Sus scrofa: one gene and its partner. The protein of the gene in region 1 interacts with the protein of each later gene in a pairwise test. Links are inferred from orthologs where the notes say so. Each region holds a gene or a part of one and is shown on either strand. Other genes may lie near its edges. The genes, in order: NUFIP2 and FBLN5.

Region 1 (3,820 bases):
TTCCAAGTAGGGTTAGATGATTTAGCATGGCAACCCTAAATAATAAAAGCACAGGGAGCCCTTTAATTTCTCTCAATAATCCTATAGTGATTACATTTTAAAAAATACCCGAGTTTTAAAAAGAAAGTGACTCTGGCAGACTTTCTGCCTACCAACAAGGTTGCCATGGAAAATTTTTATATAGTTAAATTAGAAATGCTTTTTGTAATTAAAACTTTGTGGTGAAAATATAGTGGCTTCTGGGTGGTTTTATAAATTTCTGGTTTCCCACCAAATAGGAAAAATTATTCTAGTTAATTTAAAAGGCCTGGCTTTGGTCCAGTTTGGTTTGGACCTTGGATTAGTTCTTTATTTTGGTGTTTAAGACTGCTTATCGTTGAAGCCTGAAAAGTTATGACTAAATTGGCCTACAGGTCCAAACGTTTGTTTAGCCTGTCAGCATGTTAAGAGGTATATATAGTTGTTCTTTTTGGCTTAAAGCTGTACATGAGTAATATATATCTGTTAAAAATGTTGAGTATCTTCGAGTTCCTGTCCCTGGCTCAGCGGAAAAGAACCTGACTAGTATCCATGAGGACACAGGTTCGATCCCTGGCCTTGCTCAGTGGGTTAAGGATCCGGCCTTGCTGTGAACTGTGGTGTAAGCTGGCAACTCCGATTTGACTCCTAGCCTGGGAACTTCCATATGCCATGGGTGCAGTTCTAAAAAAAATTTTTAAAAAAAGTTGTGTATCTCTGAAATTTCTGCTTATCTAAAAAGAAGAAAGAACCTTTTAGAAAATATCCCAGTGATCTCTGTTTCATAGTTAAAATTATTTCACCGAAAGTTTGATATAACAAAAAAAAAAAAAAAGAGTGCCCATCATGGTTCGGGGGTAATGAACACAACTGGTATCCATGAAGAGGCGGGTTCCATCCCTGGCCTTGCTTATTGGGTTAAGAATCTGGCAATAGGAGTTCCCATCGTGGCGCATGGTTAACGAATCCGACTAGTAACCATGAGGTTGCGGGTTCGGTCCCTGCCCTTGCTCGGTGGGTGAACGATCCGGCGTTGCTGTGAGCTGTGCTGTAGGTTGCAGACGCGGCTCGGACCCCGCGTTGCTGTGGCTCTGGCGTAGGCCGGTGACTCCAGCTCCGATTCAACCCCTAGCCTGGGAACCTCCATATGCCGAGGGAGCGGCCCAAGAAATAGCAAAAAGACAAAAAAAAAAAAAAAAAAAAAAGAATCTGGCAATACCTCGAACTAACTCAGATCTGGTATGGCTGTGGCTTAGGCTGGCAGCTACAGCTCCAATTCCACCCCTAGCCTGGGAACTCCCATATGCTGTGGGTTTGGCCCTAAAAAGACAAAAAAAAATGTTTGATATGATTGGCTATCATAGCTTTTTTAGCCAGTCAAAAAAATAAAATGTAACTCTACTGAAGTTAACTTTTATGAAATATATTCCTTCATGGAACAAGTTCTGTGCCACTCTGTTTCAGGAATGATTATACCTTAAGTATGTTTTGTTGTGTTATTGCCTCAAAGTTAATATAATTTGCTCATTTCTCTGATGCAGAATGGCTTAAAACTATGGTGAATAAACACTTGTGAATGTTCTCAGAGTGTTCTATTTCACATCAAGTTCCTTTAAAAACAATTGTTCTCAATCTTAAAAAAATCTTAGTGTCCTTGTACTCTTGAAGTATACAGCTTTATGTGTATTGATATTTTTACCGTATTGGAAATTAAAACAACAAAATTTCAAAACAAGAATACATTAGAAGTTCATGTGCCTTTTAGCCTTCACAAGCTAAAGGCCCAAGAGAATGAATGAAAGTGACAAAGGCAGATTACCTAGTTGAATCACATATAGTAATAATCACAGTTTATGATGATAGAAGTTCTTAAACTTGAATACCGTAACACTTTTTAAAATTAGATAACTTTCATTGTAGTTTTGTTAGTATTTCCTTACTATATTACTTGGTTAAGCACTGTGATAGGAAATACCACATGGTGATAGGAAACCATGTTCCAGATAGACTGGAGTTCAGCTTTCTAGGTCTACTTTGTGTCTTGGGCAAGTTACTTAATTTCTGTGAGAGTGTTCACCCAAATGTAAAATGAAAATATATCTTGTAAGAGTTAGTGCCCTAGGTGTTTTGGTTTCATACAGTAACAGTATAATCTAACGTCTGGGAAGTGTTGAGGAATTTAAGACCACTTTTGAAAAAATTCATAAGTGTTAGATTTTTGTTTGACAGAATGCAATAGGAACTGCCTATGGTAACCATCAGCCATTTATGGTTCGGTAGAAATGGAAACTTCTAGTACTTAGATTTTATCAATATGATCTGACTTTGCTCTTAATTGTAAAGGAAAATTTTTTTTTTTAATTTTTTATTTATTTATTTATTTTTTGTCTTTTTGTCGTTGTTGCTATTTCTTGGGCCGCTCCCGCGGCATATGGAGGTTCCCAGGCTAGGGGTCGAATCGGAGCTGTAGCCACCGGCCTACGCCAGGGCCACAGCAACGCGGATCCGAGCTGCGTCTGCAACCTACACCACAGCTCACGGCAACGCCGGATCGTTAACCCACTGAGCAAGGGCAGGGACCGAACCCGCAACCTCATGGTTCCTAGTCGGATTCGTTAACCACTGCGCCACGACGGGAACTCCTGTAAAGGAAATTTTATAGCAGCCTTATAAGAATGAGAAGGTTGATCCTGTTCGGCGAGAGGTATTATGCTTAAGCGGTCATGTTCTTTCTGATCTGGGACTCGGGTTTGATTCCCACCTGTGTTTTGTCTCTTGCTTATTAGTAAACGTCCTCATCTGTGAAATGGAGCTGACAAGTGTCTTCTCATAGAATTATGAAATAATGACATATAAAGCTGAAGCTCAAAGCATAGTGTCTAGCACATACTAAATGTTAGGTACTATTGTAATTTACATATTATAATTCTTTAAAAACCTTTTTTTCCCCCCCTCTCTAGGCTATGGTGAACTAAATGGTAATGCTGGAGAAAGAGAAATTTCTTTAAAGAGCCTGGGTTCTGATGAAGCTACCAACCCTATTTCCAGGGTACTCAATGGCAACCAACAAGTTGTAGACACTAACCTGAAGCAGACTGTAAGGTCCAGCACCTTTGGGAAAGCAGGAATTAAAACCAGGAATTTCATTCAGAAAAACAGTATGGACAAAAAGAATGGAAAGTCTTATGAAAATAAATCTGGAGAGAACCAATCTGTAGACAAGACTGATGCTGTAGCAATTCCAAATGGTGTTGTAACAAATAATTCTGGCTATATTACTAATGGTTATATGGGCAAAGGAGCAGATAATGATGGTAGTGGATCTGAGAGCGGATATACCACTCCTAAAAAAAGGAAAGCTAGGCGCAATAGTGCCAAGGGTTGTGAAAACCTTAATTTAGTGCAGGACAAAATAATGCAACAAGAGACCAATGTCCCAACCTTAAAACAGGGACTTGAAACTTTCAAGCCTGACTACAGTGAACAAAAGGGAAATCGAGTAGATGGTTCAAAGCCCATTTGGAAGTATGAAACTGGGCCTGGAGGAACAAGTCGAGGAAAACCTGCTATGGGTGATATGCTGAGGAAAAGCTCTGATACTAAACCTGGTGTGAGCAGCAAAAAGTTTGATGATCGGCCCAAAGGAAAGCATACTTCTGCTGTTGCCTCCAAAGAGGACTCGTGGACCCTATTTAAACCACCCCCAGTTTTTCCAGTGGACAATAGCAGTGCTAAAATAGTTCCTAAAATAAGTTATGCAAGCAAAGTTAAGGAAAACCTCAACAAAACTGTACAGAACTCT
Region 2 (3,820 bases), on another chromosome or scaffold:
GGACTGTTCTGTTCACTGTTGTGTTCAGTTTCTAAAAGTCTACGGTAGGTACTTGATAAGAATTTATTGAATGAGTAGATGGATAAGTGGATATGTAAATGCCTCTCCCATAGAATTGCAGGAGGAATATGAATTAGAATATATATATATATATATATATATATATATATATATATATAACTGAATCACTATGCTGTACACCTGAAACTAACACAACATTGTAAATTAACTATACCTCCTGCTGTATAGCACTGGGAACTATATCTAGTCACTTACGATGGCGCGTGATGGAGGATAATGTGAGAAAAAGAATGTATATGTGTGACTGGGTCACTTTGCTATACAGTCGAAAATTGACAGAACATGGAGTTCCCGTCATGGCTCAGAGGTTAACAAACCCTACTAGTAACTATGAGGTTGTGGGTTCGATCCCTGGCCTCGCTCAGTGGGTTAAGGATCCGGCATTGCCGTGAGCTGTGGTGTAGGTCACAGACACAGCTCGGATCTGATGTTGCTGTGGCTGTGGTGTAGGCTGGCAGCTGTAGCTCCAGTTCACCTCTAGCCTGGGAACCTCCATATGCCACAGGTGTGGCCCTAAAAAAAAAAAGACAAAAGGCAAAAAAAAAGAAAGAAAGAAAGAAAGAAAAAGAAAATTGACAGAATGCCATAAACCAGCTACAATGGAAAAAATAAAAATCAGTTAAAATATATATATATTTATATTTTATATATATTTTATATTTTACTTTTCCATTAAAAAAATGGTTAAAAAAAATTGCAGGAGGAACGAGACCTACGATTGCATCTTGGTCTAATTTCTCAGGGCACAGTTGAGGGTCCTGAGGCTCACAGGGGAGAAGCAGCTTTCTCAAGGCCGCCGAGGAAGTGAAAGGAATGAGGATACAGGAATCCTGACTCCTCCCTTCACACCCGCCCCTCCCAGCTGCACTCTGGCCGATTTCTAGAAGCACAGCCGGGCGAGACAACAGAACGCGTTGTGAAAGACGGTGCCCAGCACTCACCCCCTCTTCTTACCCGCATATAGAATTCTCTGCCCTCATTCCCAGACTTGATCTGGAAAATGTAATAGGCCCCAGGGTAGCGGGTCGTCGCCTGCATTTGGAAGATGTCAGCAGGAACAGAGCGGCCCGACACCACATCCATATCCCGGTACAAGATGGTGAAGGGTTGGTCTCTGCAGCCAGGGTTTTCAGCGGGACACATACAGCGGCTGTTGGGAAGGGAAATCACGTGAGAACGCGGTCAATCCTCTCCAGATGCTGGCTGTACCTGCTTCCTCACTTAAAACACTGTACAGGAGGCCACCCCATTGTTATCATCCAGATGCCGTAACTGTAGAGGCTCTGGTCTAAAAACTCCCCAGCATGTGGCTGAGCTCTCCGTTTCCTGGAGAACGGCCTATTCTGGCCAATCAGATATTCTTAACACTGGACTGCAAACCTGAGATGTCTGGTCTCCAGAACACTGGGACACTGGCGTTCCCTTCGTGGCGCAGCAGAAATGAATCCGACTAGGAACCAGAACACGGGGACACTCGCTAATGCACTTTACCTGTGTCGCATATTTTGTTGGCAAAATGTGCTGTGTAGCCCTTCACTTCCCCAGCCATACATACTCATTAAGAAATCCTAAAAGTGAGAAATTACATTACACTGACAGGTCTTAAGTGGGTTTTTTGTTTGTTTGTTTTTGTTTTTGTTTTGTATTTTCTATTGCACTTACCCCAATCTATATGGAATATAATTTCATATTTTCTTTCTCTAAATCAGCACTCAGAGCTCACTCTGTATAACATACAACATCAGGACACGACTTGAAGGTGTTAAGACATCAATTGCAATGATAAAGCGGATCCTGACCTTAACTAGGTCCCTCTCTAATTGGAGAAATACATCATAGACACAAATATCTCTAATACAAAGCATCTCCTTTGAAACACTAGTAATAGCATCGCCATCGTATGAAATGGACTCATTACCAAGGGATGCTTATTTTAGACCCCCCTTGACTCAACCCTAACCACCCCCCATCTCTCACCTCACTTCCAAGACTTCCGCCCCAGGTCAGAGTGGAAAACAGGATAAGAATATCTGCTGATCTACGTCTTAGTGGCCACAACTGAGAGTAAACCTTGCTGTGCTTCCATCTCTCTCCCCTAACTTCCAATCTACCTTCAAAACCTACCAGTTCTACCATTTGCCGCAACATGAACAGACCTAGCGATTATCATACTAAGTGAAGGACGTTAGACAAAGACAAATATCATATGATATCACTTATATATGGAATCTAATTTTAAAATGACACAAGTGAACTTATTTATAAAACAGAAACAGGCCAAGGGGGAGTGGGGAGGGACTGGGATGGAGTTTGGGCTTGGTAGATACAAACTATTACATTTAGAATGGATAAGCGAGGAAGTCCTGCTGTATATAGCACAGGGAACTCTACTCAATATTCTGGAATAACCTATATGGGAAAAGAATCTGAAAAAGAATGGACGTGTGTATCTGTATAACGTTGTACAAACCCAACGTTGTAAAGCAGATATACTCCAATTAAACAAAAAAAATAGCCAAGATGCCCACCCCCCCAAACCAAAACAAAACTATCAGTTCTACTTCTAAAACGCTGTCCAAATCCAAGCACTCCAACTCCACCATCGCCACGCTCCTGTCTCACCTGGACCTCTGTGACGGGCTCCGGTGATGGAGTGGAGGGCTCTCCCACAGCTACCTGGGTCAGAGGGCCCTTTGTCAGACATAAAGCGGATTGCGTCTCTATCCATCCTGCTTGAAGGTTCTACACTGGCCCCTATCTTGAATAAAAACTAAACACCCACTTTAGCCTCTAAAACCTCCTGGGGTCTGGTCTCTGCCTGTTTCTCGAACCTCGTCTCAGACACTGTCCACATGATTCACTAGATGGTAGCCCCTTCCAGTCCCTGCAGACGTCAAGGTCATGGCTGCCTCAGAGTCTTTGCATATGCTGTTCCCTTTGCTCTTCCACCCTCTGTTAAGCTAACATTGGCTCATCTTCCCACTGAAGCCCCAATGTCAGTTCCCCAGAGGGGCTTTCGGACTCCCCAGGCTAGACCAGGTCCAGGCTGCTCTTTCTCTTTGTCCATTTCTGTTCTTCCTATTCATAGCCACCTATCACCATCTATGATCACAGATTCATCCCCATGACAATTCATTTAGCATCTTTCTCCTCCACTAGCATAAGAGCAAACACCACAGTACCTGGCACCACGTCTGGCACGGAATAGGAATTTGACTAACACTTAATAAATGAATGTATCAAAAGAATTTCTTCAGTTTTGTTTTTTAAGGCTCTATTGAAATGGTCAAGTCAAAATGACCCAGGGGACAAGATGGCCACATGAAAGTGTCAGGTGTTAGAGTTCCCACTACAGTGCGGCGGGATTGGCAGCATCTCTGGAGCACTGGGATGCAGGTGCGATCCCCAGCCCGGCCCAGTGGGTTAAGGATCCAGCATTTCAGCTCAGACCAGATCCCTGAACTGAGAACACCATGTGCTGCAGGGCAGTCAAAAAAAAAAAAAAAAAAAAAAAAAAAACCAAAAAAAAAGTTGGGTGTCACACAGAAAATAGCTGTTTCCTAAAAGAAGTCTGGAGGAGGAAGCGATGTCTCCAGCTAAAGAGGATCGCTGCAAAGCCCTGGGAGAGGGGGCATCGGAGCTCAGATCTGAAAGACAAGGCAGGTCTACCCATGTGGCAATGGCAGGAATGCCTTCCACATAGAAAATGTGGGCACGCAAACCAGGAGGCTGGACGTTC

What was found.
Region 2: the proteins of NUFIP2 (region 1) and FBLN5 interact in binary tests that used the Homo sapiens proteins (3 or more experiments, as listed by UniProt). The link is inferred for Sus scrofa from reciprocal best matches to the Homo sapiens genes NUFIP2 and FBLN5.

The regions. Positions count from the first base shown.
Region 1 is NC_010454.4:45,499,934-45,503,753, reverse strand, and holds part of NUFIP2 (nuclear fragile X mental retardation-interacting protein 2), read left to right. Parts: intron 1-2,978; coding exon 2,979-3,820. UniProt on the Homo sapiens protein: Binds RNA.
Region 2 is NC_010449.5:113,432,238-113,436,057, forward strand, and holds part of FBLN5 (fibulin-5), read right to left. Parts: intron 1,232-3,820; coding exon 1,036-1,231; intron 1-1,035. UniProt on the Homo sapiens protein: Essential for elastic fiber formation, is involved in the assembly of continuous elastin (ELN) polymer and promotes the interaction of microfibrils and ELN. Stabilizes and organizes elastic fibers in the skin, lung and vasculature.